Linked DNA regions of Caenorhabditis elegans. The protein of the gene in region 2 purifies or fractionates together with the protein of the main gene of each other region. This does not show direct contact. Each region holds a gene or a part of one and is shown on either strand. Other genes may lie near its edges.

What was found.
Region 1: the proteins of C32B5.15 (region 2) and emg-1 fractionate together in Caenorhabditis elegans (co-fractionation; one large-scale study listed by BioGRID). This does not show direct contact.
Region 3: the proteins of C32B5.15 (region 2) and cdd-2 fractionate together in Caenorhabditis elegans (co-fractionation; one large-scale study listed by BioGRID). This does not show direct contact.

What each region holds. Positions count from the first base shown.
Region 1 is NC_003281.10:10,647,573-10,651,450, forward strand, and holds emg-1 (Ribosomal RNA small subunit methyltransferase nep-1), read left to right. Parts: upstream 1-1,946; coding exon 1,947-2,313; intron 2,314-2,650; coding exon 2,651-2,979; 3' UTR 2,980-3,336; downstream 3,337-3,878. Other genes in the region: orc-4 (ORC (Origin Recognition Complex) subunit), read left to right, coding at 46-214, 606-719, 945-1,086, 1,139-1,241.
Region 2 is NC_003280.10:969,901-974,764, forward strand, and holds C32B5.15 (F-box domain-containing protein), read right to left. Parts: upstream 3,051-4,864; coding exon 2,707-3,050; intron 1,531-2,706; coding exon 910-1,530; intron 863-909; coding exon 745-862; 3' UTR 643-744; downstream 1-642. Other genes in the region: C32B5.6 (Resolvase/invertase-type recombinase catalytic domain-containing protein), read left to right, coding at 126-189, 346-500, 545-619; fbxc-14 (F-box domain-containing protein), read left to right, coding at 4,403-4,473, 4,672-4,864.
Region 3 is NC_003282.8:7,546,481-7,549,598, forward strand, and holds cdd-2 (Cytidine deaminase), read right to left. Parts: upstream 1,414-3,118; coding exon 1,269-1,413; intron 1,173-1,268; coding exon 991-1,172; intron 946-990; coding exon 772-945; 3' UTR 638-771; downstream 1-637. Other genes in the region: pam-1 (Puromycin-sensitive aminopeptidase), read right to left, coding at 1-423, 533-637; oef-1 (C2H2-type domain-containing protein), read left to right, coding at 2,078-2,170, 2,214-2,405, 2,458-2,566, 2,611-2,717, 2,761-2,990, 3,042-3,118.

The DNA.
Region 1 (3,878 bases), on a different chromosome or scaffold from region 2:
CATATTTTTCGGCTTTTCAACCCCCATTAAAGTCCATATTCTCAGACAAGTCACTACGTCGTTCTGAAACAATTGGCCGCGCAATTCCTGATGCTTTTCGGTTACTATTGTGACGTAGAAGACACGTGGAAACCCGAGGAAATCAGCAAACAGATTCGTAAAATTGTCGAGACGACTTCTCCCTCGTATAATGGAAAATTGTTGATTTTAAAAGGTAGAAATTCTGCTAAAACTTTGAAAAAGGCAGAAAAAACCCACGATTTTCTAATTTTGAAAACAAAAAATGAACAATTCAAGTTCACTTTTTGAAATTCCGCAAAGAATTAAAAATTCTGATTTCAAATCTGGAAATTGAGCTGATAAAGTAATTTTTTACCTTTTTTTTTCGGAACAAATTTCAAATTTTAAACAACTTTAAAATGTAAAAAATCATGCAAAAATCGTGATTTTCAATCAAAACCTATTTTAATCTTTACAGCTTTTGAAATTTTTCTGAAAAATTAAAAAAATCCGGTAAAATCTAGAAAAAACTAATTATATACTGTTTTTTCGGCTCAAAAATTTAATAATTCCAGTGAAATTCTAAAAATTTTTCAAATTTTCAGATCAAACAGTTCGAGCACAATGCGTTTTTCTTTGTGTCTGGAGACTTGTGCAGAATAAAGAGTCAGATGGACCACTTTTGGCGCCAAAAACTTCGTATCGAAACGTTTTTCTAGGTATTTTTTAAAATTTATCTCGGAATTTTCGATTTTTCGAATTTTTAAAAATTGAAAAACGAAAAATTTTTCGATTTTTTGAATTTCCGAAAAATTAAGAAAATGTTCAGAAAATTAACCATAAAATATGATTTTTTTTAAATCTAATTTTCGATTATATTGATGAGAAAAAACATGAAAATTTTAAGCTTATTTTTTAAAAATCTATTTTCTCCGTAATTTCAGAATTCAAAAAACTCGTTAATCAACACTATCCTCCACTGAACGTGAGCAGTGATGTCTACGTATTCCGAGAATTGGATCATCTCGTTAAAATGGGAATTTTGAAGGCAGACGAGAGCACAAATGTGACAAATACCTCGTTTCGGTGGGTTTTTTTTTCAGCTGAAAAATTCACCTCAAATCCTCTTTTTTTTCAGAAAAGTTTGGCTTCATATCAATGATAAAATTGTGGAGGACTCGATCTCGAAGTTGCAGCTCCCGCGAGTTGTTTCCGACTTTTTTATGACTATTTTGAAGTAATTTTGATATTTTTTGTACTATTTGCAATGAAGATTGATCTCGATATTTATATTTTTGTTGAGTTTTTTTTTCTGTGAGAATTATTTTCGGTTTAAAAACCATCATATTATTTTTTGAACTTGTTTTATAAAAATCTTTACAGGAGCTTCAAAAATCGAAAAAATAAAATAAAACCATTTTTCGTTAATTCAAAAATCCCGAAATAAAATATTTAGTTAAATTTTCATGTTTTAGGGGAAATTCGACAAAAAAAGGAACTCACTGAAATTTTTGAAAAACCGTTCAAATTTACAAATTTTTTCGTTTTTGAGTTTTTGAGTTTTTTGATTTTCGACTTACATTTTCTCCGCAGAAATTTTTCAGTGTTTTTGACGAAAAAATATCGAAAAACGAAAAAAGAAGTGAAAACTTTTAATTTATCAAAAATTATGTATATTCCTATATTGATAGATATGGAAAATTAGAAATTTTTCCAAAAGTCGAAAAACTCAATTTTATTTCCAAAAAAGCGGCATTTTTTCGAAAATTTTACAGAACGACCTATCGTTGTTCCCACAGCTTTTATTTAAAATTTGTGCTAAACTATAAAAAATCACAATATTATTCAGAAAATAATTTTTTTTTCATCAGAATTATTGAAAATTCGATTTTTGGTCCTAAAAAAATTACTTTATGACAAAAAAAATTAATTTCTCCGAATTTCAGATGTCCCACGAGTACGATACAGTTGCACCGCCAAATGCGAAGCGCATGAAGACGGATAATCAATTGGAGGACAAGAAGATTTTGTACGTTGTACTGGAAGGATGTAGTCTTGAAACTGCAAAAGTCGGTGGAGAATACGCAATTTTGAGCAGTGATAAACACGCGAATTTTCTGAGAAAACAGAAAAAAGATCCGGCTGATTATCGGCCAGATATCCTACATCAATGCTTGTTGAATCTACTTGATAGTCCGCTTAACAGAGCCGGAAAGCTTCGTGTCTTCTTTAGAACGAGCAAGAATGTGCTCGTTGATGTCTCACCACAGTGCAGAATTCCAAGAACTTTTGATCGATTCTGTGGACTTATGGGTGAGTTTTTGGTTTATTGGAAATTGAAAAAAATATATTTTGAAGTGTTTTTGTATGTAAAATAAGAAAAAAGACAATTTTTCGAGTTTTTTAAAAATTATTTTTTATCAAATTTAAACATAAATTTTTAAAAATACCCTTTTCCTTTTAAAAATACCCGGATTCAAAATACCCCAAAATAGTCTGAAAATCAAAAAAAAATTCACAAAAAAGAGCACAAAAATCCAATTTTCAAAAACATGCTTTAAAATACTTTTTATTGGATTTTTTGTGACTTTTCTTGCAATTAGGTATTTTTATGCAAAATCCCCCTATTTTCTATTTTCCATATTTTCAGTCCAACTCCTGCACAAACTCTCCATTCGAGCCGCCGAAACCACTCAAAAGCTGATGTCAGTAGTGAAGAATCCAGTGTCGAACCATCTTCCAGTGGGATCCCGTAAGATGCTCATGTCGTTCAATGTACCTGAGCTAACAATGGCTAATAAGCTTGTTGCACCGGAAACCGACGAGCCTCTGGTCCTTATTATCGGTGGAATTGCTCGTGGAAAGATCGTCGTCGATTACAACGATTCTGAGACCAAGATCAGCAATTATCCATTGAGTGCAGCGTTGACTTGTGCCAAAGTGACCAGTGGACTTGAGGAGATTTGGGGAATTATTTAATTGATTTTTTGCAGTTTTTTCATTTTATTGTTGTCTGTTTTTGTTACTATCTTCATCTTATAAAGTGCAAAATCACTTTTTTTTTTCGAAAAAAAATGCCGTTTTTTTGTAAATTTCAATGTCTATTTCTTACTTTTACACTGAAATTGTTTTAAAAAAATCAAATATTCTAAAAACCCAAAAAATTAGTTTTTTCTTTGATTTTCCTTTCGTAGAGTTCTCTTTTTTTTTTATTTTTTCAGTTTTATTAGGTAGTAATTTAAAACGTTTTAAAATTTTACAATATTTGGCATAAAATTCGGCAAAAACTTTTTTTTTTCAGAAAAATTCTAAATAAAAAAGTCCAGGAGCCTAACTTTTCAGTTTTTACCAATTTTTCAGACAAAATCGAAGAATAATCGTGAAAAATGCGATTTTTTCGCTAAAAATACGGTAGCTGGTATCGAAGCGACAATTTTTTTAGTTGCAGAAGGATGTGCGCCTTTAAAGAGTACTGTAGTTTTAAACTTTCGTTGTTGCGGAATTTTTATTGATTTTTTGTAGTTTTTCGATAAATTATCGATTAAAAAAAAAAGATAAACTCAAATAAAAAATTAAAAAATACAAGAAAACTGTAAAATATTATAAATTTCAACATAACTGGAGAAAAACTGTAAAAAAATTTGAAAAAAAAAAACAATTTTCATATTTTCTCTCCAGTTCTGATAGAATTTCTGACATTTTAAACTTTTTTTTTTACTTTTTATCATAAAAACTATGGCAAATTAAGGAAAATTCTGCAGAAATGAAATTTGGAAATTACAGTACTCTTTAAAGGCGCACAATATTTGGCATAAAAAATCTTCGCTTCGAGACCAGGTACAGTAGTTTTGACACCGAAAACGGGCCATTTTTTCAAA
Region 2 (4,864 bases):
TATCGAACGTTAGTCTTGCAGCTCCTGATAGTCTTGCAGTCTTTATTAGTCTTGCACAATTAGTCTTGCATGCAAGACTAATAGAGAAAATACGGTATTTTAAATATAATAAGCATTTCTTTCAGGTCATTGATTCAATGGCATCGTTAGTCGACCTGTACACCATGGACTCCCGCGGGCTCCACGAAAGTATGTTTTTTTTTCTAATTGATCTGAAAAAAAATTGATGTTGTATTCTTACGATAAATTTTATTTCGTTTTCTAAAACTCACTCATAAGTGAGTAAAAATCGATAGAAGTTATAAGATAGCGAAAATCCGAGCTTCAATCAATTTTTTTTTTCAGTTTGCGACTTGGCTACACCTTTCTTCCAACTTCTTGCCCATCCACGCATTTCGATGGAGGTCAAGTTATTGATTAACAGACTCAAAGGAGTATTATTGACTCGTGATGCAGCGATTCTTCAGTTGATAATTCAGGTTTACGAGAATATTGCCGAGGTGAGCTTACATAGCCATTCTTTCTCGAACCGTCTAATTTTCAGGGCGATCAAGAGGCTGAGGAAGCCGACGAGCGAGTGAAAGCGTTGCTGGCTGAACGCTTCGGGAATGACATTTAATTAACAAAAATTTGCAAATACTATTATTTTACTTCTTTTGGAATGTACTGTAAATTTATCTGGATTATTTTAACGATAAACAACATCTCACTATGTAAACCAAGTGATTACAAAAAATTAGAAACTTAAAGTTGCCATTGAACCAGTCCAAATGACTTGGGTTTGACCAAAATTGATATCAGTCGTCCATTACTTGAGATATCAAGCCATTCTTCACAATTGATAATTTTTTCGAGAGTTTCTCTGAAAAAAAACGAGTCTACAGATTAGTTCCCCAACAAATCACCCACTCGTTGCAATAATCTATGGGTCGTGTGGCAGGATCCCATGGTTTTGCATTAACTTCTTGATAAATGTTTTCCACGTTCAATTGGTAGCCGGGAGCTAAAGAAAAGGTCATTGTTTGGATGTTTTGAAAATTTATGTCCGTTGTCCATTGGTGCAACCAGTGCATAACTTGTTCAGACGAAATAAATGCATTTTTGGCGCTTAAATGACGCCCCTTGAATCGAGGGATTACACTGTCAGCCATTAAACATGAACTACCAAGAAACAATCTCTTGATTGAGAACAAACCACATTCATCTTTAAGTTCACCATCTATCTGTGGATACAACGACAAACTGCCTAAGTTCGGCCATGTCGAAAAGATTTGATCTAGAAAGGTGATTGGGATTGTATCTAGCTTAACCATTTCACTTAGAATAATGTGGTTGACATTTCGAATATTTGAGAAATGGTGAATCTTTTGTTGACTCATTCCTTGCTTCCAAAAAAATATTATATTTGATTTGAGATGTGTTTGGTGGAGGTTCAAAATCGTGTTTCGAAGCATTTCGTGAACTACTTTTAAGGTTGATCCATTGAAATAAAATTTGATTATACTGCTGGCTTCATGGCACGGAGTTGCGCTGAAATGCAAAATTAAAATTATTTACTGTGCTGGCCACAAACGGGGCTTCGTGAATTTTGGACTGTGTTAAATTAACCATAACTTAAAAGCTAATCATTATTTTCGAAAACGGTCAACTAACAAAACGTTGGTCATTATGTTGTTGACATTGCCTGACCGATATTATTTTACAAAAACTGCCCTGAAAAACGGTACAGCGACAGACATCTGGCTGGTCGATTTTTGACCTCGAATCTGAAATCGTCTGTAACTCAAGAAAAAATCGCTTCCATGAGAATAATTGAATTAATAACATGATCTTCATAAACATTTATGCCCTATGCATATAATAACTTTGTCCTCAACCCGCCGGGAAGTGAATGATATACAACTAAGCCTATATATTCCAAACTGTTGTGGATCATATTTCATAAAAATGATAGGACTTTTCAGAGTATTGTTTTCAGGCGTGAAACGACCTACATAACTATGATAAATTATTGATTCTTCAAAAAAACAAATGAATAATCAAAAGCAATCATTATTTTCGAAAACCGGCAACTAACACAATGTTGGCCATTATGTTGTTGACATTTCCTGACCAATATTATTTTACAAAAACTGCCTTGCAAAACATTACAGCGGCAAACATATGGCGGGTCGGTTTTTAACCTTGAATCTGAAATTGTCTGTAACTCGATAAAAATTGCTTCCATGAAAATAATTGTATTAATGAAATAATTTTTACTAAAGATGGAAGCGATTTTTTCTTGAGCTACAGACGATTTCAGTCAAAAATCGACTAGCCAGATGTCTGTCGCTGTACTGTTTTACAAGGCAATTTTTGTAAAATAATACTTATCAGACAATTTGAACAACATAATGACCAGCATTTTGTTAGTTGACAGTTTTCGAAAACAACGTTTAGTTTTTCAATTATGGCCATTCAAACAAAGCCAAAAAAAAAAACGAAAAACCGTTTGTGCATATCTTTTTGGCCAGCATTGTATTTACAGTAAGACTTTTGTATTACATGTGTAATATGGACATATTGGATACCCTATACTTACAGTCTTTCGGTCAGAACTTTTCAAAGTACAGTTTTTGAAAATTTTGATTGAGCTCGGCTGCGCTTAAGAGAACTCAAAAACGCTGATAATCAGGCTAGTATATTTTCAAAACGTAAGGAACTGACCAGTAAACCATTGTTTGTCCAATTTTCAATTTAAACCACTTTTCTTGCTGAATAATGTCTTCTCTTGACGCTTCTCTAATTAAAAACGATAAGTGTTCACTTAAATTATTAATGTCCTTCATTTGCATGACGTAAGAACGTTCAACGGATAAATTCGAACACGAATGGATCATCGACGAGTATCCTTTTTTTATTGATTTTCTGGCCAACGTTTCAGTTTTGGAAGAGCAAAATGAAAAGTTAAGCACGTCGATGAAGCTCATTTCCTGAGGAATTTGCCTACGGATCACAAGTGGAAAGGTGAAGAGGTTGAAGGGCATTCTGAAAAAAAAAACTATATACATTATGTAATAAGAGGAAATGGTAAGCAGCAACTTATAGAGAAAAGAGAAAATTCAATACAAAAGTAATTGTTTTTTTTTGAAAAAAAAAATTGTGCATAGTGATAGCGATAGTGCAGGATTAATTATCAATAGAATTGTATAAGTGCCAGGCTCATAAAAAACAGCGATTGAAAATAAAGCCATTGAGTACAGAGCAAAACCGATTAAAGCCTCGATGTTTTATTCATCTTGATTTGAACTTCAACATTTTCGGGGAAAAAAACGATAAAGCACCATGAATATAACATTCATACAACATTTGGTGGTACCTAAAAACTTCAAAAATATGGAGCTGTGTGCTGGCCAACCGAGGGGTCAACCATGTGACGTATTGCGTCTTCCCACCGATGCAGTCTCCCGCTGGTCTATGGAATTGCGGGAGGCGTCAACTTGCAGGACCAATTTTTCGCTGAAAACGGTTAAAGGTGGAGTAGCGCCAGTGGGGGAATTGCTTTAAAACATGCCTATGGTACCACAATGACCAAATATCATAGTAAAAATTAAAAAAAAAATTTCTAAATTTTATATGATTTTTTGAAAATTGAAAAAATCTCGAATTGCATCAAATTCCTATTTGAATTACCGCCAATAGTTCGATGTTCGATGGAGCGCGCTTGCATTATTTTAAATTTAAAATTTCGAATCTAAATCTTTGAAATAGATTATTTCAGGCTCAACGTCGTTGAAAAACGTGATATCTCTGTTTTCAATTATTTTTAGTGAACAATCTACATTTATCTTGAATTTTTCGATAAATCTCCAGTAAAATTACTCAAAAAAAAACATGAAAAATCAATTAAAAATAAGAAAAATTAATAAATAAAAGTTAAAATAATGCAAGCGCGCTCCATCGAACATCGAACTATTGGCGGTAATTCAAATAGGAATTTGATCATTGTGGTACCATAGGCATGTTTTAAAGCAATTTCCCCACTGGCGCTACTCCACCTTTAACTAGCAACATGTATAGATTCTTCTTATGAAATCTAATTTGCAAAAATTAGAGCGGTCTGATGGACTAGATTTTCTGAGCACTTTTTTTTTACGAGTCTACTGTTCAACAGAGTGAAATTTAGAATTGAAAGCTTAATAACTGCCGAGAGTTTATAGGGCCCCAGGCCCTATAAACTCTGACTAGATCTTGCCTACCTGTTTTTTTAGACAAAACACCATCTGTCCTAAATAACCGTACCACCCTTTTGCTCAGCGAAATGACCCCAGCTGCAAATGCGCCCTAATTTCCAGCCAATATAAAATCGATATAATCTCAGTGGGGTCTTGCTGTGCCATTCTCGTCGTTACACCTGCACACTATGTTAAATTCAAAACCAGTAAGCTACCAAGTATTGAAGTTCATATTGAAGCATTTGGATCCAAGTTTGAGGTGAGTATTTTGGCTTGGAAAAGTTACGTATTTAGAGGGTTGAGTTTTGAGAATGACGGAGTTTTCGGAGTTGAAATTTTTGGGTATAGAGGAAATTCATCCAAATCACAGCTCACATTATGTTTCAAGCTTTTTGCTCAAGTGCCACACAATTTTTTAATACATAGCTAAACCTACCTAACTATAAGTATATTTCAGAATCCAACTCTGCCTCGTCTGCCCTTCAATTCATACCTTAGAAAAATCAACCCCTTCCTACATCCACTATCTCAAGATAACAGATAACAGCGTGACAGTTAACCGGGTAACCTGTCAAATTACAGTTACCGATAGAAAAGTTGATTATCAATTTGATATCAATCAATTCCCAAGTATCAGTGGTACAGTCGAA
Region 3 (3,118 bases), on a different chromosome or scaffold from region 2:
GAGAGAGCGGTCAGATGATTTTCTACTTCCAAAGTAACGTCGAAAGTTGCCTTGTAAATTGGCTCATCGAAACATGGGAATGCATAGCGAGCATAAGTCGACTCAAACTGAGTTGAAGCCAAGAACTTTTCGGTGCCGTTCTTATCCTTGTACTGACTGCGATAAAATCCTCGCATCTTATCGTTCAGTTCACCGACAAACTTGAAGTCGAGCTGAACCTTCTGTGGCTGCATGGTAGTCGGAAGCTTGATAGTCAAAATATTGAGCTTATCGTCGTAGCTAGTTTCGAGAGATTTAGAAGCGTCTCCTGGCTGAGTGATAAGCGATACCGACTGAATCAGCAAACTCTGTGCATGCACCTTCAAGACATCAGTAGCTTCTTTGATTGTGACGTCAATCGTTGCATGACCATCGAAAGAGAATCTGAAAAACAAGAATTAGAACTTGAAGTGGTTTTGTTGCAAATTTAAACTACATATCAACATTTATTACTGCCGTCCTAGCTAAACTGAAATATTATTACAGAACTTACTGGTTGAGGCATGGCGATAAACGGACGTTGTAATGAGTTGGTTCGGCGAATGTTGGAAGCCTCTCAAATTTGACCGCCGCGCTTGGGTTTCCACAGGCCGCCATTCTGAAAAGTTTTATTAATAAAATGAATTTTTGACACAACTAAATTGAAAGAAAGAGAAGGATATCACAAATGAAAAAAAACACTACTAGGAATGGCGGGAAATGTGGAAAGGAGTTTCTGATTGGAATAAAAAATTAAGAGACGACTGTAACGTTATGCTCCGTGGCATCATCTTGCTTTAATCCTTTAGCTTCTGATGCTTTTTCTTGCTCAAAAGTGTCGAGCGATTCAGGAGTGAAAGCAAATGGAAGAAGAGCGCGAGTTGAGGTGATGAGAATTTTATTGTTAGATGCAGTTCCCACAACAACCTGCAACGATGACAGTGAAAAATTAAGAAGCTCTAGTTTTCTTACTTTATAGTCACCGAATTCAACTAGAAATTGACGGCAAAGTCCACAGGGAGACGCAGGTTCGCTGAGCTCAGTGACGACAGCAATGGCACGGAATTTCGTGTATCCTTGTGACACAGCAGAAACAATAGCACTACGCTCAGCGCAGATAGTGCCACCGTATGAAGCATTCTCGACATTGCAGCCTACAGAAAATGCTAGAAACTTCAAAAATGCATGTTGCGAAACTGAGAAGCCCGCAGACATCTCGAGTTATGCAACGACAAGAAATCACAAATTACCCTGGACAATTTCCCCAGATTCAGTGAGAAGCGCTGCACCAACTGGAAACTTGCTGTATGGGCAATGTGCCCGTTTCATCGCAGCTCGGGCCAAATGAACTAGTTCCACATCGGAAATATCTTGAGGAAGACTATTCGCGGCCATCTGTAGTTAACTATGACAAAAGTGCATGAAATGAGAAGCGAATGAGGCGAATTAAATTATTAGAAGAACAGAGAACAACATTGATGAGAAAAGTTAGCAATACACAAAAGAATTTGCGTTGTGGAACGCATGCAAAGTGACGTTAAATCCCATATTCAGTGAACGGGTCGCGTTATATTTAAAAAAAACATGACAAAATGGGAACTTTGCAACTATTTTTCAGCCTCAACTTCGAGAATTGGTGAAATGAAAAATCCACGGGACATTTTTGCGCGCGCGCGGCCCGAGAAGTGGTACCTGTACGCAATTTGTCTACCGTATACCTGGACGTTTGGGCGCGTGTATCTCAAAAACGGTTGGTCCAGTTTTTTTGTGATGCATATAAATAATGTCCGAAATTAAATTCTAAATTTTTTGGACCAAAGCTTTTTTCATTATCACGCGCCCAAACCTGGTCTACACTCAAATTATCAGTAGAGCGCATTTGCATAGATGTACCACTTGCCGGGCCGTGGCGCGCGCGCGCATTACAAAAGTCAAAAAAATGCGCGAGCGTGTTTGCGTATCTCATTGCGTACTCCAGCGTACCGTAGTTTGTCGACCACGAACGTTCGTTCGCGAACGAATTCGAACTCAATTCAAACTTGTCTCTCTTTTTATAACAATGCCGAAATCATTGCGAAAACGGTTTGTACTTGTGAGTATCGATGATAACATCGAACAAATTAATGCTGCACGAAAGCTTCGTCGCTATTTGGTGAGTTTTTTCTTTAATTATTCTTCCTAATTCATATTTTTAGACGAACAATCACTTGAATCACATTTTCTCGTCAACTCCGGAAGAAATGAAAGAATATTTGGATAAATTGGACAGTGGAACTTTTAATTTTCGAGAAACAGCCGAGGAACAGAAATCGGTTGATCCGTTTTCGGAAGCAAACCAACCCGCCATTCAGATGTCTTCAAACCAAGAAATATTAGAGAAATGGGCGGTAAGGATTGAATAACTCGAATATTGTTCGAAAATAATAAAAAGTATTTCAGCGCGGAACTTTCGCCGAAAACTCGGATGCGTTGAAACTTTTGCTCGAGCCAACTAACATCGAGGAAGATGCAGTTTTGGATGATCACGAATCAGAGAACATTGTAAACAGTAAGAGTTCGTTCATTTAATTTTTAATATTTCGCTGATAACAGATATTCCGCAATTGTTTATGGTAAACTCAATGGATGCTGAAACACCAAATGACTCGATAATCGTTGAAAACGGAAAGGAAGATCAACTTGATATGGCATATTGTTCGGTGAGACCCCGACAATTGCGTCAGATTCAACTACAATTTTCAGCTGTGCAAGCATGAAGTGGAAACCGGTAGAAACCGAAATACAAAAATTAGGAAACAGACTGAACATGTTCTAGACGCCCACCCAGAATCGGAATTTCTCAATGTAGACATAGCAAAACGCTATGAGTGTGTCCACTGTTTGAGAACTCTTCCTGTGTCGAAATCACCATGTGAACATATTTCTGAACACCACGATAAAACCCACGTGGAAATTGAATTTCGTGACTTATGGTAGGAAAATCACATTGAAGAAATGCTTTTAAAAATTCGATTCAAATTTAGGTCCAATGAGCAAGTGTCAACTTTCAATTCAGTTATGGAAAAATGCTTCTTGCGTCATCTTCCAGTTCCCAGAAGCC